4 separate regions of the Mus musculus genome follow, and all the other regions are reported to be linked to region 3. The links are microRNA targets in miRTarBase. Many come from high-throughput screens and were not tested one by one. Region 3 holds a microRNA gene; each other region holds the end of a gene's coding sequence.

What was found. Region 3 holds the annotated microRNA mmu-miR-298-5p (GGCAGAGGAGGGCUGUUCUUCCC, at 4,821-4,843, shown strand). A microRNA usually pairs through its seed, bases 2 to 8, with sites in the 3' UTR of a target mRNA and lowers its output. Matches are read on the target gene's strand: a 7mer-m8 pairs with bases 2 to 8, a 7mer-A1 pairs with bases 2 to 7 and ends in A, and an 8mer does both.
Region 1: miRTarBase lists Acot2 as a target of mmu-miR-298-5p. Seed matches in the 3' UTR shown: 7mer-m8 at 2,005-2,011.
Region 2: miRTarBase lists Mfsd4a as a target of mmu-miR-298-5p. Seed matches in the 3' UTR shown: 7mer-m8 at 5,249-5,255.
Region 4: the mRNA of Slc25a42 is a reported target of mmu-miR-298-5p. Seed matches in the 3' UTR shown: 7mer-m8 at 3,934-3,940.

What each region holds. Positions count from the first base shown.
Region 1 is chr12:83,991,321-83,999,338 of GRCm38, forward strand. Acot2 (acyl-CoA thioesterase 2) reads left to right here. Exons shown (of 3, transcript NM_134188.3): 3 at 1,182-2,557. The coding sequence ends at 1,760. Among named protein-coding and RNA genes, the nearest start is that of Acot2, 7.5 kb to the left of the region's middle.
Region 2 is chr1:132,032,951-132,040,968 of GRCm38, forward strand. Mfsd4a (major facilitator superfamily domain containing 4A) reads right to left here. Exons shown (of 10, transcript NM_001114662.1): 9 at 7,590-7,710; 10 at 3,833-6,023. The coding sequence ends at 5,968. Among named protein-coding and RNA genes, the nearest start is that of Elk4, 29 kb to the left of the region's middle.
Region 3 is chr2:174,264,378-174,272,395 of GRCm38, reverse strand. It overlaps Mir298 (microRNA 298), which reads left to right and starts at 4,811; the gene lies at 4,811-4,892. It overlaps Mir296 (microRNA 296), which reads left to right and starts at 5,271; the gene lies at 5,271-5,349.
Region 4 is chr8:70,181,037-70,189,054 of GRCm38, reverse strand. Slc25a42 (solute carrier family 25, member 42) reads left to right here. Exons shown (of 8, transcript NM_001007570.2): 6 at 106-222; 7 at 604-755; 8 at 2,279-4,715. The coding sequence ends at 2,586. It overlaps Tmem161a (transmembrane protein 161A), which reads right to left. Exons shown (of 12, transcript NM_145597.4): 9 at 8,006-8,018; 10 at 7,732-7,906; 11 at 7,529-7,625; 12 at 5,374-7,172. The coding sequence ends at 6,916. Among named protein-coding and RNA genes, the nearest start is that of Tmem161a, 13 kb to the right of the region's middle.

The DNA.
Region 1 (8,018 bases), not on the chromosome of region 3:
TGTGCATTTGTGTACACGTACAAGAACGTCCGTGCTCATGAACGTGTGGGGGCGTGAAGGCAACTTTGTGGAGTCAGTTCACTGCCTCCACCGTTAATGTTATTCTGAGAATCAAACTGAGGTCATCAGGCCTGGGCAGCAAATGCTTGACCCACTGAACCATCTCACCAACCTGCATTTCAGCATCTTCCAGTTCTGTAACTTTGGGACCTCGGTTTCTTCCTGTAAGAAACACTGTAACTACCACATCACTTAATTCCTAGCACTTCAGTGAAGAGTAAAGTTTGAAAGTTTCCAGGGTGTTGTTTTAGAAGCCACAAGAGAAGAAAAAAGACTGTTGTGAAAGGTTAGCCAAAAGTCCTTTTGCTTATAGCCCAGAGGACACTGGGACTCAGGACAGGCACAGTTCTTGTGGACAGTGCCAGTCCAACCACCCCGAAGGCCATGAGCAGGGAATGGAGAAAGGAAAATACAACAAGCATCTTCCCACAGCTTTTGTAGGGAACCAGGACAGGGAACAAAGTCTTAGCTAGCACAGCTGAGGGCCCAGGGCTGTGAGAAAACAGAAGAGCCCAGAGCAGGGAGGACCCAAGGAGGACCAGCAGAGAGGTTTACAGGGAAGGAGGCTGGAAGTATGTGTGGGAGGCCATCCCTGGAGAAAGATAGTGGGCAGCATCCCAGACACAGCCAGAGGGTGGCCGCTGAGATCATGTGGTCCTCTGAGAGCCTGAGCCTCCAGGAACAGAGGGCCTGGGGAGGGAGGAGGCTTTCTTGCTGGAGCTTCTGTTTTCTCACTGCAGTATGGAGAGCTGAGGGGAGGGGCATGCATGTGGGGTGGGGGTGGGGACCAAAGAGTCTGAGGAGGTAGGAGAGGATGTGGGGGAGGGGGCTCCTTTGGAGAAAGTGGAAGGCAAAATACCAGTGATTGTGGCAGAATTGAAAGGCCACATCGGTGCTCCTGTCCAGTGAGAGATCAGACAGCAGGAATGTGTGTTTTCCTTAGTTTCTTGGGTCCATTGCCTCAACAGTTTAGTGGCCAATGTAGCTCCATTCCTCCATGGTGGCTTTGAAAAGAAAATGCTGATGTTGGCCCAGGGTTATTTGACTTTCTGGCTAGGTCTACTCACTGCTCAATACTGTTCCTGGACTAAATCTCCATTTTTCATTTGTTTCTTTCTCAGGTAAAAGGACCTGGAATTGGGCTGCTTGGGATTTCCAAAGGGGGTGAACTTGGCCTTGCTATGGCCTCCTTCCTGAAGGGCATCACAGCTGCTGTGGTCATCAATGGCTCCGTGGCTGCTGTTGGGAACACCATCTCCTACAAGGATGAGACTATACCCCCTGTGTCCCTTCTGAGAAACCAAGTCAAAATGACCAAAGATGGTCTCTTGGATGTCGTGGAAGCTCTGCAAAGCCCTCTGGTAGACAAGAAGAGCTTCATTCCCGTGGAAAGGTCTGACACGACCTTCCTGTTCCTCGTAGGTCAGGACGACCACAACTGGAAGAGCGAGTTCTATGCTGATGAGATCTCCAAACGCCTGCAGGCGCACGGGAAGGAGAAGCCCCAGATCATCTGCTACCCAGCAGCAGGGCATTACATCGAGCCCCCTTACTTCCCGCTGTGCAGCGCTGGCATGCACCTCCTGGTGGGTGCCAACATCACCTTTGGAGGGGAGCCCAGGGCTCATGCCGTGGCCCAGGTGGACGCATGGCAGCAGCTCCAGACTTTCTTCCACAAACAGTTGGGTAGCAAGAGTTAGGGACTGTCCTCTAAAATATAACCTATTAGTTGATGGTTTGGGGGAAACCTCATATATATTATCACAATGTCAGTTCAGGTTAGTTCATTTGAACATATTCTAATTTTTTAAAGTTTCTTTCTTTTTTCTTTTTTCTTTTTCTTTTTTTCTTTTCTTTTTTTTTTTTTTTTTTTTTTTTGAGACAGGGTTTCTCTGTGTACCCTTGGCCGAGACCAGGCTGGGCCTGAATTCAGAGATCGGCCTGCCTCTGCCTCCCAAGTGCTGGGAGTAAAGCCACGCCCAGCTTATGTTTTTTCTCAATATAATAAGTGCCTATGAAGGACTGAGGATATATAGAGCTTGGTGGTAATGCATTCGTCTTTCTTCCATAGTGCCCAGAATTCATTCCCCAGTGCCGTAAGACGACAAAGAAATTAAAACTTTCTTATAAAAATGTGCCTGTGGACCTGGTGAGATGGCTCCGTGGTAAAGGTGCTTTCTGCCAAGCCTGACAACTTAAGATTTTTTTCCCCCAGGGTCTACATGGTAGAAGGAGAGAACAAACTCTGACAAGTTGTCCTCTGACACACACAAGTGCTTGTGCGCGTGTGCGTACGCGCGCACGCACACACACACACACACACACACACACACACACACACACACGCGCACACACACACCACATGTGTAATTTTAAAATGTGCCTATCCAAAAAAAAAAAAAAAAAAAAAACAGAATTCTTTTATGTCATGAATTAAGGGGGAACCTTAAGTGTAAATATTCTTATTAAAATAAAAACTAGCTCATTATAGACAAAACTATGTTGTCCTTCCTTCAATTCTTGGGCCAGTGTTCCCACTCTTGTCATCCTTCCAGAAGTGGCTTTTGGGTGACTGTTCAGATACTTAACACACGTCTAGCAGCAGCGAAGAAGAGAAGGGGTTTTGTTTGTTTGGGTTTTTTTTTTTTTTTTATGCACACATCCAACAAGAACATCAATTTTACAAAGCAAACCAATGTTGGGAAGAGAACCTCTTGGTGTTTTGAGCTCTGTCATGGTGACATGAGGGGAGGATGAACATTTAGTCCAGGAGGCAGCAGAGCAGCTGGGGAAGGAAACAGAAGCCAGGAATCCCATGTGTGCCAACCTTCAGACCTGTCTTCGAGGCAGGGAAGAGGATGTGTGTGAGCAAACGCTCTCATTCCCGCACATTTAGGCCACAGCCACCTGCCAGTCAGAGAGTGGTCAGCACAGGAGGAGGGATTTCTTTACCCATTGCTAGGCTCATGCTTGATCCCCTATAACACAAGACAGGCAGTAAAGAGACGGCTATAGAACCCGAGTCAGAGTTATTATTTTTCATCACATGTGTGTCCGTGTGTGTCTGTGCAGGTGCCCACAGAGGCCACATGATTTCAGTTCCCCTGGAGTTGGAGTTACAGGTGGTTATGAGCTACCTAATATGGGTGCTAGGAACCAAACTCTGGTCCTCTGTGAGAGCTCGTAAGTGCTGAACCTTCTCTGCAGCCTCTGAACCATGTTTAATTAAACCATGTTTAATAAAAGGGTTGCATGAGCTGATTCAGTGGGAAATGGGACTGGCTACCAAGCCTGACAAATGAGTTCAATCCCTGGACCCCACCTGGTGGAAGGAGAGGACTGATTCCAGCAACTCGTCCTCTGACCTTCACACGGGCACCATGGCACACGCCTGCCCCCCAGTATACAGATGAATCATTTTTAAAAATTCAAACTGTTGCCAGGCGTGGTGGTGCACACCTTTAATCCCAGCACTCGGGAGGCAGAGGCAGGTGGATTTCTGAGTTCGAGGCCAGCCTGGTCTACAAAGTGAGTTTCAGGACAGCCAGGGCTACACAGAGAAACCCTGTCTCGAAAAACCAAACCAAACCAAACCAAACCAAACCAAACCAAACCAAACCAAACCAAATCAAAAACAAAAACAAAAACAAAACAAAACAAAAACCAACAATAACAAAAATCAAACTGTTGCATGGCATGAGAGCCTTCAGAAACTAAGACCCAGGTCTGGGGGGTGGGCAGAGGTGGCTCAGTTAAGAGCACAGTAAGCATGAGCCAGAGATCAAGGCAGATTCCTCTAATAAGCCTGAAAGTCATCAGGCTTTCTGCTTCGGGGTCCTGCCCTGAGTGCCTGCTCAGTGCTGGACTGTGTCCTGGAAGTGTTAGCCTTTTGCGTCCCACTCGACGGGCAAGAAAGACGCAACAAACCGGAATCTTCCACAGCAAAAGCTTTATTGCTTGCTTCTTCAGGAAGACCCCAAACCGGGAAAATGGCGCCGTTTTTATAGCCTGCAGCGTGACATTTCAGCACCTGATATGGCGTGACAGCTCCTGATTCGTTGCTCGCCCATCACCCCACTATTACACCTCGAGAATAGGAGTGACTAGGAGTGAGTTCACTCTCGCACCTGCGTACAAGGCTTGTTTACTAGTTAGGCACAGCGGAGGCCAGCGCCATCTTATAATGGTGATTGCTCTCGGCACGGCTCTCCACAGCGATTACTGGCGGCACGCACCTCGTGGCACGGCTCTCCACATTAGCCAAATAAACCCTTTCCTCCCTAAGTGCTTTTTGGTCATAGCATCTGTCACAGTGACAAAACTCAAACATTAGGTGGCAGAAGCTGGGAAGGTTAGCAGGGGAGGACAGTAGGACTGGCTGGTTATGGGTACAGTGGAAGTCTAGATTCTTGGGTTCTGTAGCACAGTATCTATCGCACAGATCGATTTTTGTTGTTGTTGCTGGAGATAATATTTTTGTTATTTTATGTGTTTTGCCTGCACATATGTCTGTGCACCACCTGCATGTCTGGTACCTGTGAAGGGCAGAAAGGGCATTGGATTCCCCTGGAACTTGACTTACAGATGATTATAAACTGCAATGTGGTTGCTGGGAATTGAACTCTGATCCTCTGGGAGAGCAGCCACTGTATTTAATCACTGAGTCATCTCTATAGACCTGGTGCTGGAGATCAAACCCAGTACGAGCAAAGCATAGAATCTACCATTATACCCTTATGGTGGTTTGAATAAGAGTGGCCCCATAGGCTCATAAATTTGAATGCTTAGTCATCAGAGTGGCACTACTTGAGAAGGATTAGGAGGTGTGGCCTTCTTGAAGTAGGTGGTCTTATTAAAGGAATAATGTCACTGGGGGTGAGCTTTGAAGTTCCAAAAGCCCAAGCCAGGCCCAGTGTCTCCTCTCTTCTTCTGCTGCTTACAGATCCAAGTGTAGAACTCTCAGCTATTTCTCCAGCACCCTGCCTGTGTGAGGTCGTGCCTCCTGCCATGATGATAATGGACTACGCCTCTGGAACTATAAGTATGCGCCAATTAAACGTGCTCTTTTATAAGAATTGCTGTGGTCATGCTGCCTTTTTACAATAACAGAACACTGACTAATACAACCCCCAAACTCCATAGTGTATTTCAAAACAGGAAGGATTTGAATATTTTCTTTTTCTTTCCTTTTTTGTGTGTGTGTGTGTGTGTGTGAGAAAGGTTCTACATTTTATTGCTGTTCAAACCACACCCCCAATTTAAACATAACTAAGTCCCCGGGTTAAGAATGTTGAGCTCCGTCTGGTAGGACGGATCGATCAACGTGGTTCAGTACAAACCCTCAGTCTTGCCATTGTGTGAATCCTTACAGACCCTGCTTACTTCTCCTCTGGCATCTCCTCTCAGAGTTGTACCTGATTTGGTTACCAGTTTCCACCTGAGTCCATTGAGGAATAGTGTGATTTTGCTTTGGTTTCTTGGTCAGGAATCTCTTGACTGGGAAAGTCTTGTGAGAAGACCTGGAGAGAAGCCGGGATGGGGAGATGGTGCATGACAGCAGAGGCTCCAGCTGGAAGAACACGCTGGAAGGATTTTGAATATTATCAGAGAAATGATAAATATTAGCAGTAACGAGTATAACAATTACACACTTGAACATTACACACATTACATATTCCTCATAAATATGCATAGTCATTATGTATCAAAAAGAATCTAAATCCACTGGGCATGGTGGTGCAGGCCTTTAATTCCAACTCTCCAGGCAGAGGCAAGTGGGTCTCTGTCAGTTCGAGGCCAGCCTGCTCTACAAAGTGAGCTCCAGGACAGCTAGGGTTATGTAGAGAGAGCCTGTCTCAAAAATTAAAAAAAAATGTTTTAAAGAAAAGAAAAGAATGTAGATCTACATTAATTTCTGATTTAGTCAATGAATGAATTAAAAATGATCAGTGTAACTTCATAGATGTGGAGGGGCAGGAACAGAACGAGGAACTGAGAAAAGCTTGGTGGGTGGTTATGTCTCCTTGGCCCTGTGTATGCTTGATGCTTCCTGTCTGTTTTGTCCTGTGCATACTTCATGCTTTGTGATCTCTTGGCTGAGGGACGTTAGAAATCTCCAGTGCAACACAGCAGAGGGGGACAGCTGAACTTGGATAGAACCCATATCAGACATAACTGGAGGTTGGCTCCTGCACTTATGTGTGTGTTTGCACATGTGTGCCTGCACACACAGACACACAGATACACGAACACACACATGCATGCACACACAATAAAATATCTCATAAAAAAAGAAACAGTCTGAGTTCTGAAAATCGGTGGGAGGTTTCCCCTACCTGAGAAGGCAGCACCCTCAAATGGATGCCCTGAGAGGAGGAGACTGCCCCCCTCTAGAACAACCTGTCTAGGGATGTGATATTTTAAAGATCATGGTAACTTTCACCCTGATTTGAAAAAAAAAAAAGCTAGTAAGTTTTGTTTTTTTTTTTTAAAAGATTTATTTATTACATGTAAGTACACTGTAGCTGTCTTCAGACACACCAGAAGAGGGCATCAGATCTCGTTACAGATGGTTGTGAGCCACCATGTGGTTGCTGGGTTTTGAACTCTGGACCTTCAGAAGAGCAGTCGGGTGCTCTTACCCACTGAGCTATCTCACCAGCCCCGCTAGTAAGTTTTAAGGCCTGGGAGAAAATAAAGTATTTCTAAAACACTCAGGTAGGCGCACCCGGCCATTCTGTGTGATGTCTAAGCCAGGAGGCTCACCTGCCAGGACTGTGCTAAAGTCAGGGAAATTTGACGCTCTCCCTTTCCTTCCTTCGTTTGCATTTGGTGCTCATCAGGACATTTTGATGCAGCAATACTTTGACAAGATGGTCTGAAAATCGGCTTTGTCTATTTGGTGGGAAAGAACAAGAGGCGTCGTCACCCAGGTGGAGCCTTCAGATTGCAATTCTTTCTCTGCTAGTGCTCAGCAGGGCATCAGATCTTTCGACAGAGACTGACAAAACTGGAAAGATGTGTTCTCCTGGCAGCAGGTTCAAGCCGAATTCTGTACCGCGTGATTGCCAAAGGAGCCTCATTTAAATGTAAGGAGAGGAACGAGCTGTGACAAGGCAAGCACAGATCCAAATCTTTCTCTATCAGACTTGAAGGCAGATGGTTTGGGGTGGTATAAAACAAAACAAAACAACAAAAAACAAAAACCCTGATATTGCAAGAGAACACTCGACCTGAGGAGAAAACTGGAGCTAGAGCTGGCAGATGGGAGATATGGGATGAGTCGTGTTTGCTGGCTGGTTTCTTGGCTTCACAGAAAGAAAACAGGACAGACTGTGAGCATCCATGAGACTCCCCCACACCACATTCTTAAGCTCTCCACTCCCACAGGAAGCTGAAGGGCACATTTGTTTAGTCCCTCTCCATAGGTTATCCCAGAGTGCCAGAGGGGAGAGGATGAAGCAGGTGTAGGCTATCAGCAACTGCAGGGCTGGGACCGAGAAGAGGCCCCGAGACTGTCTGGGACATCTAGTGCCACGCACAGCCTGACTGCATGAACCATTCACATGAAGGCAGAAGGACAGACAGATTAGACTGAGTTGGGACAGTCTTCTGGGGGGGAGGTCTCCTGGAAGGGGAGTTAGGAACTTGCTTTCTGTCTGATGACCATGGAGGCCACAAGGACCCCGATTCTAGGGGATGTGAGAACAGCTGCAGTCAAGGCACCAGGAATGATTAAAGGAGGCCTTGACATCAGTTCGAGGTGGCTGTCCCACTGCCCAGGTCACGCTTCACTCAGATGAAGAGAACGGACACTCCCGTTCCCCCACAGACTCACTGCCCCCTAGTTTCTGAATGTTTCCAGCAGAATGGTTGCTGGGGGTGGGGAGTGGGGAGCACAGGCCCAGTGTAAGCTGTTCCATTCTGTTCATATAACCAGTGCTGACCCGGGAACCTGG
Region 2 (8,018 bases), not on the chromosome of region 3:
ATGTCACGTGTGTCCTGGGGATCAGACTCAGTCAAAGGCTTGGTGGCATCTCCTTTGTTCTGTGGGCCATCTTACTGGCCCTGAAATGTGTGTGTCTCAGCGTGTGTATGTGTGTGTGTGTGTTTTATGCAAATGTCATACAGTTAGTTGTAATCAGATGTGTTCACCGAGGCTTTTGGGATGAACACATTGCTCATTTCCACTTCAGCCCCCTTTTATGTTTTCAGAAAGGGTCTCGTGTAGTTTTGGCTGCTCTGGACCTTGATAGCCTTGTGGTCTTCCTGCCTCAGCTTCCTGAGTGCTCGTTACAGATGCATACCACAATGCTTGGCCTCCCTAGCCCCCTTTCTTTGGAGAGCTTGGGAGAAGAAAAGAAAGGACCAGTTAATTTAGCAGTGAAATGAAGTGTTTTTAGAAGTGGCTTAGAACATGATGGAGGATGTGGGCCTAATGGGTGGCCTGATCACATCAGAGAGCGCAGGCTCATTCCAGATGAAAGTACCAAGAGCATACCAGATGGCTGGTGGCAGGACACAGGCCCTGGGAGTGTCTCTTTGGCTGGTGCTTGACCACACCGTTGAGCCAATGAAGGGCTTTCCTGGGAATCTGCTCAAATGCATTACCTAAGAACACTAATCTTAGAGGAGCTGAGAAATATGGTCTTGCTTTTTGCAGTCACAGAGTGCATTTTTGAATACCCAAAGCTCCAGGTCCTTCGGTGGAAAAGCCTGCCACCATTTCGGCCTTTCCAACTGTTGGCACTAGTTTGGCGAAGCGCACTGACTGCAGGTACCATTCCATCTGTGTTTCATAGAGGCGTCTAATGGCCACCATCCTCACACTGGGCTCTTTGGGCTTTATTAGGTAGGAGACAATGTTGAGTGTCCCAGGATCACACTCTGATCATCACAGTATACCTGCCACTGAAGGAATCATGAAGTGACTTCATCGGAGTCACTCAGAAGTACAGTGATGTGTCATAGAACTGTCACAGAAGTAAAGACTTCAGCAGCTGTGGAGGTTCCTAGCAGATGCAGCCATGGTACTGGATTGTGAGTGTTGTTCCCATATGTTTTGAACACACTGGTCATTTACCTAAGCCCCTCTCCCATCTAGCCCAGTGTTTGTTAGTCCTGTTAATCTCTCACAAGCACTGATGTCTTCTTAAGATGCTCTTCCCATACCTTCCAGGAAGCCACTTTGACTGTTGAATGGGTTCCTACCTCTGGCTTCTAATTTTTTACTACATCAGTTCTTTTTCTAAACCCCTAGGTTTTGAAGAACCCCCAGGCTCGATCTCTCAGTCCCTGCAACCACTAACTAGGAGATTTCATTCCTTGTCTCTGAACACTGTAAGCTATATAACTTCTCTTTAAACTCTGGCTACCAAGTCTAGCAGCTGGCTTGATATCCAGGATAGCATCATATACTGATGTGCAGAACTGTTTTTTTTAAAGATATGGCCTCAGGCTTGCAAGATGGCTCAGTTAAGAGCACTGACTGCTCTTCCAGAGGTCCTGAGTTCAATTCCCAGCAACCACATGGTGGCTCACAACCGTCTGTAATGAGATCTGTTGCCCTCTTCTGGTGTGTCTGAAGAGAGCTACAGTGTACCCATAGGTTGGGAACAGCTGCTCTTCCCAAAGATGGGAGGGCGAAACAGAAGAATCCACCAGAAGTGAGCTTGGCTGTGCAGCAGCGAAGAACTCTTCTCAGACAAGATGGAAAGGCAGGGGCCAACACCTCAAGTTGTCCCCTGACCTCTACAGGCATGGAATAACATGTATGAGTTACATAAACCTGAGTTTACTTCACATGTCCTTTCCCATGATACATCTGATCTTCATCATATTCGTTCAATCATGCATAGGCACGGTGGTAAGTAGGGTTTTTCCCTAAGACTTCATTTGTAGGGCATAGTTTGCCTTATTGTCTATGTTCCCCAAACCAGTTTAGGCTGGATGAGCCCACATTTCCAGATCCCAAGGTGTTTCAGGATGTGTTTGGCCACAGAAGGGAAGTTACTAAGGATGGCTAGGGCGCTCCAGGTTAGAGTTACCAGTTGCTTTATTTAAGAAGGGGTGTGCAGCCTGATGTTGGCAGGGTCTCAGCTTGTTAAGTACTGTATGTATAGCCAAGTAGAGTCTTCCCTGTGCTTGCCTACCTCAAAATGCCTCACACCTGGGCATAGGTCAGATGCCTTCAGCTTGAGACTGGCACCCTTCTCTTATACTCAGTCCATCAGCAAATTCTGACAGACCTTCCAACTGAATTCGCCCTCACCATTTCCACTGCTTCCAGCATGGTCCAAGTCACTGTCACCTCTCCAGCCCTGCAGTGTATCTGAGCCTACCTCAGCCCCACTGTCTTCAAACAGCCAGAGTAACGGTTTTAAATGTGTGAACCGTGCCATGTGACAGTCTGTTGGTAAGCTCACATCCCCCAGAAAAATCCACATTCATGCCACCCTGTTTCTTGCCACTGTCTGCCTGCTTTGCAGTTTGTCCAGACCAGTCTGCCAGCTGCTCCTCAGATTCTATGGAACATTCCAGTTCAAGGCCCTTCCCCTTGCTGTAGCCTCTACCTGGCAGGAATATTCTCAGGTACCCACCCGCCTGGCTTTCTCCTGTGTAGCACATGTCCTCTTGTTAAGATAGCCCGAACATCTGCCGTTCCCACGCCCACCCCTGCTGCTTCTTACAGTACTCTATCATCCTATAACATGTTATATATTTACTTGCTGTTTCTATGGCTTTGACCTTGAAGTCTCTGTGAGGCAGGGACTTCTCATTCATTGCTGAAACTGTACCTGAGCCTCTGCTTTGAACATGGTGGCTGTTTGATCTTTTTTTTTTTAATGTGTAAACGCAATCTCTGTAAGAAACTTGTGAGCTGAGGCTATCGCTCATGGGTAGAGTGCTTGCCTCCCTGGTGTACTCTAAAGTGGATCCCCAGGTGCACACAGGCTGGCCTTGGTGCTGCATGCTTGTCATCCTAGCACCTGGGGTGTGGAAATAGGAAAATCGGGAGTCCAAGATCATCTGAACTACATGGCATCTAGTCTACCTTGGGCAATGTAAAACCCATTTCAAAAAGACAAAACGAATGAATAACAACAAAACAAATGAACCCTTTGTGTCACTATACCTTCCTTTAAATGTGTGCAAGGTATGCTGGTGGCTTAGATCCCCAAGTCTGCAGAAGGAATCTGGGAACAGGGAGACATCACAACACTCTTGTTTTGTTTTGTTTTGTTTTGTTTTCGAGACAGAGTTTCTCTGTATAGCCCTGGCTGTCCTGGAACTCACTTTGTAGACCAGGCTGGTCTCGAACTCAGAAATCCGCCTGCCTCTGCCTCCCGAGTGCTGGGATTAAAGGCGTGCGCCACCACTGCCCGGCTTTTTTCTTTTTTTTTTTTTCTTTTTATTTTTTTTATTTATTTTTTTTTGTTTTGTTTTGTTTTTTTACAACACTCTTGATAGCTAGAAGTGTGGCTTAGTGGTGAGTCTTGCCTAGAATGCTTGAAACCCCAGGTACCACCCCTAGCCCTGCCCCAAGTTCCAAAGGTGTACATATATACATACATACATATACACATACATAACATACATACATACATACATACATACATACATACATACATAGTTGTCATGTGTGTATCTTATATTGGGTGTGTGTGTGTGTGTGTGTGTTTGTGTGTGTGTGTGTGCACAAGAGTGTGTGCATGTGCGTCACGTGAACCTCTAAGAGAGACCTGTCTTTGGGGAGCGTTAGACCATTTGATCTTCAGTATAAAGGGTCGACTGCCCTTCAAGATGGATAACACACTTACTAGGTTTAAAATATTTTATTTTAGGAAAGTATGAGATTCTTTTGAGTTTTCTATATTAACACATCAATCATCACCAATGTAGGTATAAGCAGTGATTCTTCTTTCTAGATCTGTATAAAAAGGATGTTTTCTTGAAAAAAAAACTACAAGAAAAATACAACCACTTTCTCTTTGCCCAGGTCAGTCACCATAGTTAGATTGCCCAGCTAGATTTTAATATGGCTAGTATGAGGTACTTTTCAATGAATTTATAAATATAGTTAAAAGGATTTGCTTAGGCCATCGGCGTTTCAAAGTTAAATTTGACTTAAAGTTTGTACCAAATGGAGATGACGTCTAAGCTGCGTATGAGGTGTTACAAAGAATAGAAGTAAAACCATGAACATTTGGAAGGCAGGTCCCATGTAGGGCATGCAGCAGATGCTCCACACACTCTCAGTTCTCTCAGAATTCCTGTGAGGTAGGGTGCTTTTAGAAATGCCATCATACTGGTAAAAACAAGCAAGGCTGGAGGTGGGGGATGGGGGGCTTCTGGAGTCACAGCTAGAAGGCTGATAACCTGGCCCACCTCTGCTCTGCTGGTGTCTAGTGTGTGAACTACAGCCCTTGGGACCATGAGTCCATGCTCACATGAACACATGTATATGCACAGAGAATGTACAGATTAAACCAATGACTGTAACAGGACATTTGTTCCTCCTAGAGACTTCCCAGAGACAAATCATGTCATGTCGCTGATGCCAGAAGCCTTGCACCCAGCCCTGCCCGGGCTGGTGAGCCGCCTTCTTGTATTCTCTGGATTACTAACCTACCTTCTGTATAGAAGAGGGCACTCCTGACAGACACTGGTTTCTGCATACTGACACTGCTCTCTGTATACTGCATGGCTTGAATTATATAGTAGTCCTAGATTTATATGGGAGGGAGGGAGGGCCTTGACACAGTATAAAATTTTCATCTATAAAAGGTATAAAATACCAAATGAGCTATTTTTTTAAAAAAAATTCTTCTGTACCTTGAGGATCTCAGTAAAGAACAACAGACTGTCCATTTCATTCTCCCTGCACTTTCTGAACCAACTAGCATTGCTCGTTAGCAGAAAGACGCTGGAAACCCATCTGTTCCCAGGGGCACGGCTTTCACCATTTCTGGGCCATGGCTGACCTTGGACTACCAGCAGGCTGTCACAGAGATCTGAGAGGAGGAGCCCAGCAGTATTCTGTCACAGAAATGTCACCACCTTGGTGCCATGGACACTCCTGAGCAGCATCTGAGCTGCTTCTTGGGCTCAGGAGCATCTGCCATGTAAAATTAGAAAGTGAGGTTTGGAGAATTACCTTTGTTTAGTTACAATTTTTTTTTTTTTTTTAAAGCTAGGTAGTGGCAGTACACACCTTTAATCCCAGCACTTGAGAGGCAGAGGCAGGAGGATCTTTGTGAGTTTGAGGCTAGCCTGGTCTATAGAGTGAATTCCAGGATAGCCTGGTCTACAGAATGTGTTCTGGGACAGCTGGGGCTACCCAGAGAAATACCATCTCAATAATAATAAAAATAATAATTTAAGTCTTTGTCATGCCTACTAGCTCTCAAAATGAAAATTTAACAGTCAACTTTCTAAAGCTTGTCTGAGTTAGCCCAATGCAACACTGACTAGGGTCTCAAAGCAAGATTCAACATTTCCTTTGTTGTCTTAGGACACAAATAAACTGATTTCTGCAGGACGGATGTGAGGGACTTGGGACCATGGGTAAGTGAAGAACACATAAATCTTTTTTAACATGCCAGAGGGGCTTGATTGATTTAAAATATATCTACACCTAGCAGTGGTTAATGACTTAGGATTTTAGCATGTTTTTCAAACTTCAACTAAACGTGATCTCAAACCCAGAGTTTAGCCCATGCGTGGGGTGGTGTGTGGAGAGGTGTGTGCGGGCTGTCTTTCATCCTCCTGTCTGGTTGTCAGGACAACAAGTCCGGACCAGAGAGGAAGATAACTAAAGTGTCAGGCAGGTGCTCGATTTGTCCAGGGAAGACTCAGGGAAGGAAGACACAAGCAAGAGCAGCCTCCTGTGCAACCCTGGCTTCCTGTGTCAGTCTGGTCACCCTGTGGCTCAGGAGCTGAGCTCTTCAGCTCTTCACCTCTGGTAGCACTCAGGGTTCTCCACACCAAGGGCTTTGTCTTGGGTAAGAACTACAAAAGAAAACATAAACAACACTGGTAGCAAATGTGGGCGGCCCCAGCTTCCTCTGCAGCATTTAGCTCTTGAGAGCAAGCAAGCTGTATGCTTTTCTGCTAGTCTAGCTCTAGGTGCACTAGGGCACACGTACAGCCACAGTCTCATAGGTGCACACATGTATGTGTGTGCGCTCAAGAGCACACGCCACACACACACACACACACACACAATACACACACGGCACTGTGGGAAGTCAGATCAAGATCAAGTTCTGGTGAAGTGCTAATAGAGACAGTGAGACTGATATCTAGGGCTGGGGGAAAAAAACTGTTTGTCTCCCATAAGAAAGGAACATTTGATATTCACAATCATCATCATCATCACCACCACCATCATCATCATCTCTTCCTCTTCCCCCTCTTCCTCTTCATTTTCTTCAAGGGCAGTCTTTATTGGGATATTTATTATGTGTGTGGTGGGGGAGTGTGCATGCTACAGTCAGGATTCATGTAGAAGTCAGAGGACAGCTTACAGGGCTCAGTTCTCTCCTTCCACCATGTGAGTCTCAGGGACTGCACTCAGTCTTGGTGGTATCAGTATCACCCATGCATGCTGAGCCATCTTGACTGTATATGTTAAGCGATGCTCTCTATAAAGGAACTGGCTAGTCAGAAGCTACCACCTGCCATCCCAGAGGCTGTTCTGAGAGGCGGTATGACTTCTCTCTGGCTGTAGCCAATTTTTGTTTTTGTCATGTTGTGTTTTTGTTGAGATGGAGTCTCACTGTGTACCCTGTCTGACCTAGAACTCAAGTCAGTAGACCAGGCTTGCCTCAAACTCACAGAGATCCACCCCGCCTTTGGGGTCAAAGGCGCGTGCCACCATGTCCGACTATGCACTTAGTATTTAAAGTGAACATGGCTACTTAGAGAGGGCTGTGGGCAATTCTTCCATCTTTTTGTATTCTGTTTTCAAAGAGAGAGCACTGGCTCAGCACTAGCTCTCATTTGCTGAGAACAGCCTGATGCATGGCTGTGGTCACTAGGCAAGAGACTCACACAGTTACAAAAATAGCCTTGGTACGATCCCGACCTGGGGTCTCCAGGATGGAGACTATCCTTAGGAGTATCTCTATCCTGAAGGAACCCTTCCCTGCTATTTTGCCACCACCCCCCCTCCCAAAAAATGTCCTTTTTGAAGAAGCAATTTGGACAAGAGTCAAAACCCTAAACTGTAAGAAAGGGCCTAGTTAGGCCACTGGGCCAGGTTCCAGCCAGGGAGGCAGGCTCTCCCTTCTCACGGGTTCAGACTTTGGCACTAGGATCCACTGTAAAGGGGTTCACTGTCTGTGCCCCTCTGCTAATGGAGAAGCCGTGAGTCAGCCTGTTCACCCTCTGCTGCCTTCAGACTCCAGTGGACAATCACAGGGAAATCAGGAAGAGGCGAAAGGGAAGCCGTAGGAAAACAAACACTTCCTTGCATTTCATTTGGAGCAGAGCAGCACTTCCGATCGTTAGGATCCCGCTCTTCCCCCGCCCTCCTGTTTCCCCCGTCTGTGTAGAAACAAAATTTCTTCTTACCTGATGAGAGTTCAGGGTGTATCCTGTGGAAAAACAGGAGCAAGATGTAGAAGATAAAAGCCAGGCAGCCAAAGATCACACCACAGACCAGGAAACTGTAACTGCCCTGGGCCTGAAAGATCTGCCAGAGAGGAACACAGCAGCCATTAAAATCCCACTTGGCAGTGCATGGGAAAAATGGCTGCCTTGGGCCCTTTTCGGCTTCTCTGTCAAGTTGGGGCCATCCTACCAGATGCAGGAATGTGGGGAAGGTCTCCCCAAAGTTACAAATCTGGTGAAGACATAAATCCTGCAGTCAACCAGGGTTGAACCTGTCTATACATCATATACTCTTTCAGCCCTGTGTTCTAAAACTTCCTGGAAGACACCATGTGATCATTGACATTTCAAACATGTAAGATGTTTCTATACCTGTAAGCCTAAGTGGAA
Region 3 (8,018 bases):
AAGCTCCCTTGGTAGTCTGGGACAACAGTGACTTTCCTTATCCTCCAGTTAATGGTCTTTTGGTTCTTTGGATAAGTAGAAGCCACCCTCAGCCAGGCGGCGGTGGCGCACACCTTTAATCCCAGCACTTGGGAGGCAGAGGCAGGTGGATTTCTGAGTTCGAGGCCAGCCTGGTCTACAGAGTGAGTTCCAGGACAGCCAGGGCTGCACAGAGAAACCCTGTCTCGGAAAAAAAAAAAAAAAAAAGCAGAACCCACCTTCTCTGTCCCCTAGAGAGAAAGTAGGGAGCATTTGAGCAGCCGCCCCATGTTCCTTGTGAGGTGCCATCTCCCAGGATGGGAACTGCCTTGGGCCTCAAGTGCAGATAAAAGCCTTAAGAGCTCCCTGTAGCTACCCCTTGGACAGCCTCCAGATTGGTCTTTGGCAGTCTCTGTTTTTTCCAAGGCCAAGTCAATGTATGTTCAGTAGCAGGCACCAGGCACATCCAGCTCTGCCCTTTTGGGAAGAATGTGTGGTGGGGACACTTGGAGTCCACCTAATGACAGTTGTCGCTATCTGTGTGGAAAGATTTTGTCCTAGCCAGTTGCTAGGCCTCTTTGTATTATATTAATAGCAGGGCCATGGGGTCTACTGGGGTTGGAAGCCAAGGAGAAGAGGACAGCTGTGGCGGACATCACACCATGCTCTAGGCATGTGCTCCCATATCACAGGCACACAGATGGCCTACACCTTGTCCTGCCGCTCAAAACGCCCCCAGTCCCCTGCCTGGCTTCTCCTTATAGGGGCAGGAATGGGCTTGTGTGGGCCATCCGTGAGGTGAAGGAGCCAAATTAAGAAAGCCTGACTGGAAAGGGGTTTGACTGGCCTGAGCTGTCAGTCAACAAGCAAGTGTGCTGGGGGCCAGGCATGTGGAGCCAAGGAAGGCAGCAGTAGCCCGACAACTGCGAGCATTGGCTCCTGTGTGGCTTTAAATGTCACAGGCCAAATGGTTGCTCAGTTGGCAGCAGGGTGGAGGGAGGGGGCTTGGAGGATGCATTCGCTATGACTAGATATGGTCAGAATTAGGGACTGAACAATGCCCGGTCTGAGAAGAGGAGCCATGAGAACAACGAATAACCCGGAGACAGGGACAGATGAGGAGTAGGAGCTGGGGCCAAGTGCAGGCAGGGCTGAGGAAGCTTCAAGGACAGTCTAGAGCAGGAAGACCCAGGTAAACCGACTCTCACAGGAACTGGATAGGGAGAAGGCCTGTGGGCCAGGACCTATTCTGGTATCAAAGAGAAATGAGTGTCAAGGTGTTCCTAGGGCTTCTTGCATTTTTCCTTAGGGCTCTAGGCAAGAAGCTGAATAGGTCCAAAGTAACACAGACCAAGACCTAGACCTCAGAAAGAACGAGCAAATTTGAACACCCACCATTGTAAGATCAGAACTAGAAAACACCCTCTGGTCCTAGTTCTGTCTAGATAAATGATACTTTAGCCATGCATTTCCCCCCATTCTTTCTGTCTGAATAATAATAGCTTATTCATTGATGTTTGGATATTCGATTTTACTACAATAATCAGATACTTAATTTATAACATAAAGGAGCCTCTGGTCCTCTGAATCTGCCATCCACGTGTCCGCAGATGGCTGTGGGCAAGGGGCGGCCGCCCCCTGTTGTTCAGCTTTGGTGCCTGCTACCAGCCAACCTTGTCACTCAACTGAAGAGGGAGCTGGCTTTTGTAGGCATTTGCCCTTTGCCTTTTCTGAAGTAGTGCAGCTGTTCTTGTCCCAGGAACACGGGCCGTCAAAGCTGAGTTGTTGGGCACGTGATCTTTGACTTTGCTATGACATTGGTCTAGGAGGCTGAGACTTGTTCATGAACATAAGCTGGGTCTGCAAAAGAGAAGACCAGGGGATAAACAATGAACTTCCATTGGGGCTTGGGATAGGCTTGATAATCCAGCACAGTTGCCTGGTTCCCTCCTTGTGGCCCCTTAGTAACCTGTGGCTTGTACCACAGAGTTAGGCAATTGCCATGGCAACAAAACATCTAAGCTGTCTGTCCCTGGGCCTCCCTTCACCCCAACTGAGTAGGGCCTAGCCTGGCATAGAGAGGATAGAAGTCACCAAGAAGGTCCTGGTATCTGCAGCTTGCCTCTCTCAGCATATGAGCAGACAGGGAAGGAGGCTCCTGTGTTCATCTCTACCCTATGTCTCCTGGGTTCCCTCCATTTCCTTCTCCCCGGCTCAGTCTTGCTTCTTGGGAAAAGGTATTTTTCTTGGAAACAGTGAGACTTGGTTGATCCCTATCTCCCAAGGCCTAAGTCCTGTGGGCTTCAGGATGGCACTGTGTCACTATGTCGCTGTGTGAGTTGCTTATTGCTCCAAGCTCAGCCTTAGTAATTCAGAAGGCCTCATTCTTATTGACCTGTTTGTAGAGTCTGCAGCGCAGAGGCCTAGGCCTTGGGGGACTACGTGTTCATTTAATTCACTTCAACTTCATGGCAACTAGAGAGAAGCCTAGCTGCAGCCGAGCTCCCAACTTGCCGAGGGCCACCTCGCTGAGGAGTAGGAGTCAAGCCCGCTTCTGACTGAGGGGGTAGCTGGTGTCCAGAGCCTATTTTCCAACCCTGGCGGGCACTGAAAAGCCTTTTGAAGGGGGTCCAAGATGATACTTAGGCTGAGCTGAGTTTAGGCCATCAGAGACCTCGGTGCAGCAGAGCTGTGAGGGAGATAGCCGCTGGGGCTGAGGGCATAGGTTTGGGATGAGCTGGCTGGGAGCTATAGGAAGGCACATAGGAGCACACTTAACAAGCACTGAGGGCCACATGTGAGGTGTCTACTTGGAGGAGTGGCTCGTGGCTCCTAGCTGCCCTTGCAGGGGCTCTGGTACACTCAGGAGTCAAGTGGTTCTTCATGTGAGCAGAAGCTGAGGGGTGACTGGGGCTGATGGAGGTCTGAGCTACCCTCGAATGAGGATTTGGGGCAATGTTCACCGAAACGGTCAAGTCAGAGAGGCTTTCTCTGGGGCCTCTGACAGTGTAAGCAAGAGGCACCCTCCCTCGTACTTGTGGGATCTTCAGCTCTTTTGCAACTCAGCCTGTAGCTAGGGATGGGTCTTTGTAGTCTGCTGGACAGATAAGACAGACATCCACCCCAAGTGAAGATACAGAGCATCCTCTCTCCTTGCAGCTGAGAGCTGGACTGAGTGCTACACAGTTTTGAAGGAACAACTCTAGAGTGTCCTTGAAGATGATGGGGCCCGCTTACAGTAGCTTCTCTCGCAGCACCTCTAAAGTCACCAGCTCACCTTCTTGGCAGCCTGGAGAGCTACGTGTACCTCCTGGCATTTCTCTGTTTTCTGAGTGATGGGAAAGGGGCTTATATGGCCAACACTTGGAGCCACATCTCTAGCCGCCAAGTCAGATGTATTGGGAACAACTGCACAGAGGGGAGAGGACTCCGCAAAGGGCTCACACTAAAACTGTGCTCTTCCTCTGGGGGGAGGACTTCAGAGGGAGTACAAAGTACCTCAGCCCCTCACAGCTTGGTGGTGATGCACCCCTTTTCTGAGAGCCACTTAGCGCAGGATTCCTGTGACCCTTCTGTGCTGAGCAGCTCTTGGGCCTGACACCATCCCCAGCTGTCCCAGCCTTGTTACCTATGGGTGCCTGGGTTGGTTGTCCATGTTGATGGTTGGGATCAAGGGTGGGTGGGTGTCCATCAGATGTGTCTTTCTGTGATGGGCCTCACTGTTCTTCTGTTTGCTTCTGCCTCCCACTGTTGCTCTACTGCACCCGTGGGAGCATGATGGCTCTGCTCCGTCTCTCTTCTCTGCTCAACCAAAGAGTTTCAGAAAAGAGAAAGGAAGCCTTTTCTGAAGTCTCTAGACTTGATTTCTTGTCCTCAGTGCTTGCCCTGGCTGAGGGCCCCGTACAAGTGAACTCTGGGAAGATGATTTGTCTAGGGTCATGGACAAAGGCCTTAGAAGATGACTTCCAAGCCTATTTCGTTAACGACCTGCATTCATTAGAAAAGGACCTGTGTTTTCAAAAACATGGCTCTTGTGTCTCACATGGTCAGACAGTAGCCAAAAGATTGCCCATAAATATGTCTTCTGATGGCTGTTTGGCTACTAGGACAGAACCATTAAGTTGAAGAGCTTAAAACTATGACCTTAGCGGCTGTGTGTCTGTTTTGTTTATGTCTTAACATTCCCTACCCCATCTCTCTGTTCTAAGCACCTCTGAGCTCTCAGCACAGTCCTGCCTTTGAAGCCTTGTGTGATGGGGAGCCTCAAGGATTGGAGCCTGCACTTCTTCAGCTGCTTCTGCTGTGAGCACAACATTCAGTCCTGAGGAAAAGGTTTGCTAAGTAGGAGAACTTGGGGGTTCTTCCTCCTCAGGTATGGATTGATTTTTCACCTCACAGAGACCCAGTCAGCACCCATGGGGTGGGGCATTTGAGTTGGGAGGTGGGTCTTGCTGGAGCAGAGGCCCAGCAAGGTGGATCCTTCTTGGAGCGTGGGAATCTACAGGGCTGCTTAGAAATGGTTTGATTGGTTCATAATGGCACCTTGATAGAACAAGAGGGTTTACTGTACAGGATACTTGCCACACCATGGCCCTCTTTGTGCTACTACATGCAAGTGAGTGAGTCCATTGGATGGAGTGGTCATAGACAGATCTGGCCATGAGATGAGTGTCTCTGGACCCCCACTAACTAGCTCCTGCCCAATTGACTGCTTCCTGAGCACCACAGCTATTTGAGGTAGGCTGGGACGTTCCTGCCGTGCTTGAAAGAGACACCAAGAGGCATAAGAGGCCCAGGCCTTTGGCAGAGGAGGGCTGTTCTTCCCTTGAGTTTTATGACTGGGAGGAACTAGCCTTCTCTCAGCTTAGGAGTGGGCCAACAGCTTCCTTCCGATCTCCAGGAGAATGTTGCTGGTTGACACACGGAACTCATCCTCTAAGTTCCCCCACCCATCAAGGTAGCTGGTGGAGTCAGAGATAGATGTTTCTAAAAGCCATGGAGAACTTTGAGGTCTTGTCATAATGCCCTGAGCCTACTACTAAGACTGCCACCTTCCCATTGTCGATGCAGTGGCTTCTGAGCGCACGTAGCTGGGAAGCGGGTGAGCGGGCCAAGATCCAGGTTAGTGGGCATTCGAGACTACAGAAAGAGACCCTCCTAGGGTCTTGGGGTTGGGGAGACAGAGGCAGGGCCCCTAAGAGGGGATCTCCATCTGTGTGCACACAGAACAGCCTATGTGGAAGGTGACAAGAGGGCCTTTCTGGAGGGCCCCCCCTCAATCCTGTTGTGCTCGCTTCAGAGGGTTGGGTGGAGGCTCTCCTGAAGGTGTCCGCAGAGCGTCGCATGGTAAGTAGTCCCTTGGGGCTCTAGAGAATGCTTGCTGTCTTTGGCTTGATCCCAGTGGCAGCCTCTGCTAGACTAGTCCTGCCCCCCAGTTAGTGCTCATGGGGTACCAGAGACCTGACCCCACCCTGTCTGCTCTAGGCTAATAGTGCCCTGCTTCCCTGGGCTTGTACCACCTTGTGTAGTATCTCCCTACTCTTCTGTATCCTTGGCTGGGAAACTTGCTTCCTAGCACCAGACCTTCCTTGATGTGGTTGTTTGCTTTCCTTTCACTTATCTTTTCTTTCCTACAGGAGTGGGATGGACATCAGTCAGATCCACACCGGTCTTCATGGCAGCCCCCCTTTTTTATTTATTTATTTATTTATTTTTGAGACAAGATCTCACTGAATTATCCATACTGGCCTTAAAACTTGGAATCCTTATGCCTTAGACTCCAGCATTTCTGGCATAAACTGCTGTGTCCAGTCTAGAAGGCATTTTGGTGAACCACCCCTGTAAGACTGAGCTGGGGGGGGAGGGTGTCAGGCACCCAGTTTTGAGTTACTCACACCCAGCCTCTCCCAAGTGTGACACAGTATCTGCCTAATAAATTCACGAAGAAAGATTGTTTGGTGTTGTTCTCATCTGTGCTCTGCGCTCTACCCAGCTCTGCCTGGTGTGCCCATCACTCATCCCACTTCACCAGCTTGCTTCTAGCACACACCTGGCTTGATCTTGCTTCTTAGTGTCTCTTCCCATTAATTAGATTTAACTCAACTGCAAGAGGGCTGGAGCACCTTTCATTTAGAGTACAGTAAACTCTGAATAGAGGGAGGGCGGGAGGGAGGGAGGGAGGGATGGGGGGTAGGAGGGGGAACAGATGAGTGTGTGGATAGATGCGCGGGTAGGTGGGTGGATGGATGGATAGAGAGACATTGAAGAAGATTCAAACCAATAGTGCAGGTTAAGCACTAAACAGGGAGTGAAGGCTGTGAAGCCCAAATGGGAGGCTGTGTATCAGCCGTCTCGTGAGCAGAAGCTAGAGTAAAACCCTCAGATATGAATTCTATAAACTTCAGTTCTCTTCCTTTGGGAAGCCCCAACAAGCTACTCACTCACCAGCCATAGGCCGCTGTCCTCAGGCCTGCTGTTTCTGCTTTTCCAACACTCCTCTGCACTGAGCCTCCTTCTTAGTGTTACCTGCCACTCATCTTCCCACCCTCTTCCTTGTCTGTAGCCATTGTCTTGACAAAGAGGTAAGACTCTCCTGGCTGTGTTACTAGTGGGAGAGAATGGTTGGCATCAAGAACTGCAAAAATCACCACATGTGTCAGGAGAGACTCTGGGAGAAAACATAATTGGATAAGGGGCAGCTGCTCTCTGAGCAAGGATCCCCTGGGGTCCTTAGCTCTAGTCATGTGTACCCTTGGCCTGGCCACTGGTCTCATGAGGCTGGACTGAGATTCTGGGGGCCTCTTGAGCACGAAAGGAAGTGAATTCCCATGGCTTGTATTCACTAGATTCCAGAAGCCACTACCCCCATCCTGTCACAGCAGAAGCTTTTTAGACCTTGTCCCAGATCATACTGGGGACAAATGACTGACTCTACTGGGAGATCATGGTGTCTGTTAGCTGCACTGATTTTTTTACCTAACTTAATTACAAATTAATTCAAAGGAAACAAAATACATATAGCATGTGGGTTGTCACCTGTCTTCAACTCTGTCTAACTATCCTGCTGCCTGGGACAGTTAAGTATGAGAACCTGTGGCCTAGCAAAGGTTCCAGTGGTATAAGGAAGTCTCCCTTCATTCACAGACAGACAGACAAAGTAGGTAGGACTCACCAGGCATGCACACGCATGGCCATGTCTCTCCCTGTTCTACCTAGACTTTGGTGCAAAGACCATTTACTAACTAAGGGATCCAACTTCTGAGGAAGGAAATGGGTGGTTCTTAGTACTACTGGATGAACCTGGAGCATGGATGTGCTGTTGTAGAGCTCAGAGTGACCTAAGTTTGATGGTAAGTGCTACCAAGAGTCAAAACTGAGCAGTTGAACCAATTGTTGTCCAGGATTATAACCCAGCATTTAAATGTCTGAAACTCGCTGAGAGGTTCTGCTCCCTGCCTTCCATCCGTAGAACCCATGCAAGAAGAGAGCCGACTCCACAAAGTTGTGCTTTGACCTCCACACACAAAAGAATAATAGTTTAAACAAACAAACAAAAAAATGTTTTAAAAATCCATGAGCCGTTAAGGGGGCAAATGGGTAAATAGAATGTGAGAAAACACAGAGGAATTGCGGTTACTGCCATTCACTCCAGCGAGCAACCTCCTGTGGAAGAAAAGCCAGAGTCTCAATGAACAGTGCAGACTGGCATTCCTGGGAACCTCTTGTGTACAGCGAGTACCCTGTGTCAACCCAACATGAAAAGACACTGCTAGAGCAAACGTTGTCAACATTGAAGAGCATCCTACAAAGGACTCAAAACAAGCTACAGAAAGCAGGGAATTTGGAGAGGATCAAGTTTTCTCGGGGTATGAATGGGACAGGGCGGGGTGTTGTGACGTGATCCAGTGATCAGAGAAAGGCTGTCTTCTGAGCACCTAGCAAAACATGAGCAGAACTGGCAAGGGCGTGGTAGCTCAAGGCCATTATTCCAATGTGTCCGT
Region 4 (8,018 bases), not on the chromosome of region 3:
CCACTTGGAACCCTCTTGGGTCTTGTGTTGCTCCATGTACCCCAGGCTGAGGTGTAGGCATCCTCTGCACCTACCTAAGTCTCAACTTATTCTGCCTGTCCACAGAGCCCTGCCCCCATGGCCACGCCTCCTGGCTGGCGCCTTGGCAGGAACCACTGCGGCTTCCCTCACGTACCCTTTGGACCTGGTTAGAGCAAGGATGGCTGTGACGCCTAAGGAAATGTGAGTCTACCACAGGGTCCATGCTGGTGCTGCTGTATCTAGGGTGCTTGCTGGGGGTTCGTCCTGGGTGTGAGATTCTGCAGGGTTCCAGAAAGACAAGATACTTAAGGGTAGCCAGGCCATAGTGGTGTACGAATTTAATTCCAGCATTCAGGATGCAGAGGCAGTTGGATCTCTAAGAGTCTGAGGCCAGCCTGGGATACTTAACGATTCAGGGGTAGGGCACCTGCTTGGCACCTGCACAAGGCACTGGGGCCAGCCAAGTGACTGCAGTGTGGGAGGCCAGGCAGGTGGTGCTATCTCCATGGAGTCCCTCACTTTGTCCTGGACAGGAGGAGTGATGGGGTGCAGGCACCAAGCCCTATCACATGGTCTTCGTAGGTACAGCAACATCTTTCATGTCTTCATCCGAATCTCGAGAGAGGAAGGACTGAAGACCCTCTATTTCGGGTTCACCCCCACTGTGCTGGGTGTCATTCCCTATGCGGGACTCAGCTTCTTCACGTACGAGTCACTGAAGAGCCTGCACCGAGGTAAGGGGAGATGGAGAGAAGAGATGGGGCCTCGGGGAGCTGTCCCTGTGAACCCTATCATCCAGAGCCACACAGGAGGTCAGGCAGGGATCCAGAGCCCAATTCAAAAGACACCCTCTGTCCAGTGGGACCCAGGAGCTTGGGCTGCAACCTTTCATGTGTCCATTTTCATTCAGTTACTTAGCGGGGGTCGCACTGTGGAACACAAACTGACCTCAAGTTTGCCTTGTAGCTGAGCAAGACCTTAAACTGTGCCTCACTCTCCTCCCCACAGCATTGGGGTCACAAGCCTGCTTCTCACACGCATGAGGTGCTAGGGATGAAACCCAGGGCCTCTTGTATTTGAGGGAAGCACCCTGCAGACAGGCAGCAGCCCCAGCCCCCCAGTGTTTCATTAAACATTAACGATCTAGAACAGTTGAAGCCTCTCACTGGGACTGTGGGTAGCACTCTGGAGATGGCTTCAGAATCCAGGAGTGGTGGGTGCACCTGTGATCTGAGCGTTCAGGGAGAATGAGGCAGGAGGATTGCTATAGGCTCAAGGCCAGTCTGTGCTACCTAACAAGACCGTGTATCAAACCTTCAATGTGTGTGGACAGTGTCTTGGACCCTCAAGGCCCCCTAGTCCACAGCGCCTGCATCCCCTCTGTGCAGTGGCACAGTGATGTCTCAAGTCAGGTGTAGAGTCGCTCTTCCTGCAGCTCACCCTCGGCAGTAAGGCAGGCCGCCTGGATGCGGAGATGCTGTCCACAGTAGTCACTGAGTTCAGCTGGCAACAGTGACAAGAAGAAAGTCTGCACACAGCACAAGTGCAGGATGTTGAGACCCTTTCAGTCTATGGGTGTGCTGGCTCATGCCTGCTGTCCCACTCAGGAGGCCAGGGCAGGAGGTGGAGGCCAGCCTGGGCTAGCCAGTGACACTCCTGTCACAGAACACCAACTGACAGTAGAACCTGTCATCAGAGGTTCCTTGAGCCTGTGCTGCACCTGCACCAGGTGGTTGTTGATCCCTGGCCGCCATGATCTGAGAATCCACAGCAGCATGCTTGGCTGTTCTTCTCCTGTGGTATGGGCTGTGCTAGGGCTCTAGATGGAGCAGTAGATGCCCCGACGTCCCTAGCAGGACACTAAGATGGAGACTACACTCACACAGCTGTCCCTGCACATCGCTACAGTCCTCATTAGCTTACGAAAGTCAGGCAGAGGCACGTCCTCCATGTAGGAGGAAACTGTCTGTGTAGCCCTGTACTCTAAGGGTCCAGGCATCCATGGAGAATCTTGGGATTCATCCCCACAGATGATGGGGCACTGAAAACTGCAGAATGGGGACCTGTACCCAATAGGTGAGGGGAAACTACTACATAGATAGCCTGGGCCACCGTGTAAGTCTCACTGCTGCAAAGTGTGTGTTGTGTTAGGCTAGGATGTGGGTCCCATTCCCAGCATCAAAACTAAGAAAGGGTGGCCAGGAAGCGGGGCCTTAGTTTCTTCAAGTGTGGCACTCATGTGCCCTCTGCCCTGCAGAGTACAGTGGCCGCCCGCAGCCCTACCCCTTTGAGCGCATGGTCTTCGGGGCCTGTGCTGGCCTTATCGGGCAATCGGCCTCCTACCCTCTGGACGTGGTGCGGCGGCGCATGCAGACAGCAGGTGTCACGGGCCACCAGCACGGCTCCATCCTGAGCACACTACGCTCCATTGTACGTGAGGAGGGCGCGGTGCGGGGCCTCTACAAGGGCCTGAGCATGAACTGGCTGAAGGGCCCAATTGCCGTGGGGATCAGCTTCACCACTTTCGACCTCATGCAGATCCTGCTGCGCCGGCTGCAGAGCTAGGCTAACACAACAGTGGATGGTGAGCTGTTCGAGCAGGGGCATGCAGCTGTGTGCTCGCAGCCCTGTGGTACCTTGAGGGTGGGCAGGAGGACGGGACCTGACTTGGGGCTGTAGGGCCCATAGCGAAGTGCTGGTCCTCAGGGTGTGACATTGTGATGATGGATCTTGGCTGTCCCCTCCCTTCAGTTCCTTGCTATTGGCTGGTGAGTCTCCTGAGGTGTTACCCAAAGGCCCCTAATGGGTCAATTGCACTTCCTGGCCCTGTGTCCTCTGACCTGCTGCTGATCTAGTGCCCATTGGCACCCGGGGCTCAGAGCCCATCCCTTCTTGCTATGACCGTGCCTGGCCTGCAGATGTGATAGCAATTCCTTTTAAGCCACACACTGGAGGGTCACAGTTTGCTCAGTGGTGGCTATACCTGTGTTCCTCAATCCTCCACCATGCCTGCCTATCCTCTCCCAGGTGACAAATGGCTGCTCTTGCCCACATAGCTTTCTCCCCAGAGCACTGTGCCCATCCTATTTCCGAGGGCTGCACCTGACCATTGCCAACTACCTGGCTTGTACCTTTCCAGGAGGCCCTATGGCCACCAGACAGGGGTGTCAAGTTCAGACCCCACTGGAAATGCCCATGTGGGTATCACTGATCTGGGGTGTCTTCCAAAGTACACCAATCAGGCCGAATGCAGGCCCAAAGCTTCTTATATGCACAGCATCCATGGAGGTAGGGCTCAAGCTCTTGAAACTGCCTTCTGTGGCTGTCATCTAGCCAGGCCACATGAAGCCCAAAGATGGGTGGGTGGCTTTTCCTGTGTGAATGAGTACAGATGTATCCATGACCTGGGGAGCAGGGAAAGGCTGGGGTATCCAGGGACCACCAGCCAGCTGACACAAGGAGAACCCCCCCACACACTGGGTTCCCTAGGTGTCACAGGAAACTCTTGCCTTTCCTGGTGTCTGGGGTTCTTGATTTAGGGTCTTTGAGACAGTCCTAGCCAGAAGCCCTGGCTGTCCTGCTTCTGAGTGTTATCTGGGCTAGCCTTCAACTTAGAGCAGCCCTCCTGCCTTTACTCTCTTTTCTTTTCTTTTTTTTTCTTTCTCTCCCTTCCTTCCTCTCTCTCTCTCTCTCTCTCTCTCTCTCTCTCTCTCTCTCTCTCTCTCTCTCTCTCTCTCTCTCTGTCTCTCTCTCTCTCTCTGTCTCTGTCTCTCTCTCTGTCTCTGTCTCTCTCTCTCTGTCTCTCTCTCTCTCTCTCATTTTATTTTCCCGAGACAGGGTTTCTGTATAGCCCTGGCTGTCCTGGAACTCACTCTGTAGACCAGGCTGGCCTCAAACTCAGAAATCTACCTGCCTCTGCCTCCCAAGTGCTGGGATTAAAGGCGTGCGCCACCACTGCCCCACCTACCTTTAGTTTCTAGTTTTCAACTTATCCTGCCCCAGGTCTGCACATAAAACCCCTACCCTTCCTATGCAATGTGGCTCTGGCTCAGAGGTGATCTGGGTGTTGATTCCCACAGCTGGATGGCAGCCATCTCACATGCAGGACCTGAGCAGGGTGGCTCGAGCCCTGGGCATTTGCAATTCTTGCTGCAGTCTTTGTTCATTCTATATTTCTTACCTTGTGCCTGTGACGCTTGGCCATCTCTCAGCCTCCGCGGATAGTGATGGGCCATCCCCACCATGTCCCCAGACACCCCCCCCCCCCGGCAGCCTCTGGTGGCTGAGAGGGACTGTCCTCTCGTGAGTGTACTGCCACTCCCTTCCCCACCTGGGATGGAGAGTCTAGGCATCCCTTACCAGGAGGCCGGAGGTGACTGAGGCTCCTGGGTCACCTCAGCAGGTTGCACCATGTAGATGGTTGGCTTGAGCCCTGCATCAGGCAACCAGCAGGGCAGGAGAAGTGAGGGTGTCCTGGGTCCCTGATCTTCTTGCTTCCCCATATCCCCCCAGTAGCTCTGTGGCTGCCCTCCCCCATGGTCACTGTCCAGTAGCTCTGTGGCTGCCCTCCTCCGTGGTCACTGTCCAGTCTGGAGTTCTATTTTGATGCCATAAAGACACTTTGTTTATATATAATGTTTATATATTTTGAAGATTTGTGCCAACAGAGTATATTTAATAAAATTTTAAATATCTCCTGCTTCTTACTTCTTCAACTCTGGCTCCACCTCCCACTCTATGAACGGGGTCAAGCTACTTAGCACTTTTGTTTTTAATTTTTCTAGATAAGGTTTCTCGGTGTAGCCCTGGCTGTCCTGGAACTTGCTCTGTAGACCAGGCTAGCCTCTCTGCTCTGCCTCCCGGGTGCTGGGGTTAGAGGTGTACAGCACCACTGCATGGCCACTATTTGCTACTTTAAAAAGGCATTTTGTGTATGGGTGCTTTGCATAACTGTGCAGGCCTAGTGCCGGAGGAGGCCAGCAGATCCTTAGTCTAGACTTACAGATGATCACATGGGGTGCTCGCACAACTGGATCATCAGCAGGAGCAGCCGGTGCTCTTCACTCTGAGCCATCTCTCCAGCCCCCCCCCCCATCCTTGTGAAAGAGAGCTGAGGATTGCAGGTGTGTTGTCCAAGTGCTCTGTGCAACTTTCTGTTCATAGATGTAAATGTGACACAGGCTACTGGGGATGAAATTGATGGCCAAAGATGGAACATTAGACTGGGGCAGTAGAGTCCCAGCCTAGAATCCCCCAGTGAGGGGCTGGGGGCGTGGCTCAAGGGTGGAGCACTTACTATACAAAAGACCCTGGGGTTTTTTTGCCAGTACAAAAAAGATAAGGATCCAGGAATACAGTAACCATGTAGCTAAATCTGCCAACAACATGGCTCGGATTTATTTAATATCTGAGAAATATAATCCATGCTGGCTTCTAGTTCTTGCATAGCACTGGCTGGCCCAACTACCTCTGGAGTCATCAGCTATACTCCATCATGCTCAGCAAATGGGCATCGGCCAGAAGCCTAAGGACCTTGCTCTGAAACACAGCTCAGGCCCAGTCAGCCCTGAGCCATGTAGCTGAAGGAGGTGGGGCCCTGTACGTCGTGTGCCCCTACACTCTGAAATCCACAGCAGAGCATGGGCATCCCTGATTCCCATGAGACTTCCACAAGGTCCTGCAGCCCTTGTCAGGGTCAGTTTGGGAGGCAGGGACTCCAGATAGCCCTTCAAGGACATCCTGTTGATTCATAACACACACGTCAGCCATATTTGCTGCAGTCATGAAGACCTGAGTTCAAGTCCCCAGAGCCCACATAAAGTGGGACAGCAGCACTAGTCTATAATCCTAGCACTCCTACAAGCAAGGTGGGAAGCAGAAACCAGAGACTCCCTGGAGCCTGTTGGACAGCTGACCTGAGGGACTCAGGTAAACAAGAGACCCTGTCTCATAGTAGAAGGCTAGGATCTACATGCTAAGTTGTCCTCTGATCCCTGCTCTCACACATGGACCTATTGTATCATACACAGCACCTGTGTTCACAGCACCTGTGTTCACAGCACATAGGCAGTCACACTCCTAAGTCCTCTTGGACAGAGACCCAGAGGCTCAAGGCTCTGACTGAGCACTGGCTCTTGAACATGACTGGGCCAGACCACACTGGCACCATGGTAAGGCAGCATTGCAGAAGCCCTCCTTTTTTATTCTCAATACACATTTTACATATGTAGGAAGGTCACACATATCTCATAAATACACACGTAAACACACTAAGTCATAGCAAAAAAATAACTTTGGAGTTGGAGGTGACCCTTAGTCACCAAGACCTCAAAACACAGCAGTCATCCTCACAGCTTTGGAGGATGGTGACAACCTCTTCCCTCTCTTCCCTTTCAAGCTTCCCCCGGCCCCCTTTTTCTTCTTGTTTTACATAGTCTTGTTACTAGTCTAGGCTAACCCTCTTACCTCAGCTTCCCCAAGTGTGCTGGGGAGACAGGCATGGAGACTACTGTCTCTCCCTCCTGGGGATACTGACAGATGCCGGGGCTATATGGATGCTGGGCCAGAGTCCCACCCCTAGCTCTCCTAGCCACCTCTGATCTTGAGGTTTCCACTCTCTCCCAGGCCCCTCTCACTATCCAGGTCTCCCCTGCTCATCCCCCAGTCTCTGGGATATTTCTGTAAAACGTGCCCCCTCCACACACACACACTTGGGGATCATGGCCCAGGGGAGATTGCTTCAAGGGGTTTATGATCTAGGCACTGAAGTGAGAGAGATGGTAGGGAGTCCCCACACCAACCCTTATGTCATCTAGGGGCACCAAGGCACACACACAGGGAACAGTCCCAATCCTGGTGGGCAGGAATCAGACACTAGAGCCTAGTGCCTTCCTGCTAAGAGGCTGCCAGGTGCTGGTGGAAATAGAGGCCGAAGAGGCTGGAGAGCAGCTGGCAGGCAGCTGTCCACCAGATGATGTAAGCCAGCATGCCTCTGAGGAAGAGGGGCGTGAGCAGGCCACCCAGGATCCCTGCAACCTGGGCTGCAGTCTGCTGGGCCTCATCTCCTGCAGGGTCTACAGGGATCAAAGCCTCTGAGGGCTGGGATGGGGCCAGTGGGGGAGGAGTAGAGCTCAGGGCCCAAGAGTAGCCTCCTGCAGGAGTGAAGAAGAGAATTATAGGTGGAGACATAATGGTGGGAATCTAGAGGCTCTCACACCCCGCCCACACCTAGGTTACACCCCGCAGGCCTTAGGGGGCCTCCATCCTCCCCTGTCTGTTGGCCCTGCCTCCAACCTCCCTGCCTATGGGTCTTAACTGTAGCTTTTCCCAAACCCTGCCCTCACTTTTATCTGCTAGCCCCACCCTTACCCGGCCATGTCCCCACCTCTACTTGCCAACTTTGCCCTCGAACAGAAAACCCCCCACCTCCACTTTTATCTGAAGATCCTACCCTTATCAAATCTGTCCCCACCCCCTGGCCCCATGCTCTTTCCCACCAGCCCCTCACCCAGGGTCTTGAGCAGCAGTGTGCAGTGCAGAGTGAGGATGAGCGGGGTCAGGTACTGCAGGCTCACCACAGTCACGTAGCAGTAGACCCGGACCACCTAACGGGGGAGACAGTGGGGGTTGTAGAAGGGGTGGTCTTCCCAGGGCAGAGACCCTGCGACTAGGCCCCCTCAGCACCGGGACCATCCCACCCAGGGTGCATACCCGCTGCTGGATTTCACGGGCCTCAATGCGGCCAGCCTCCTTGCGCAGCTGCTCCACTCGAGCCTTGGCCAGGCACAGGTAGGCCTGCAGGTGTGGCCGGGTTACTGCCAGGCGCAACAGGCACAGCGCCACCAACACCCAGAGGCGCAGAGAGTCGAAAGCCCCTTCTGACGGTCTGCAACAAGAGTGAAGCAGGCAGGAAGTCTGGGTGAGCCCTCCTTTCCCAGGCCATGGCCTCAGGCACCCCAGGCCCCTCAGTGCCCCCAAAACGCACACAGAGAAAGTCA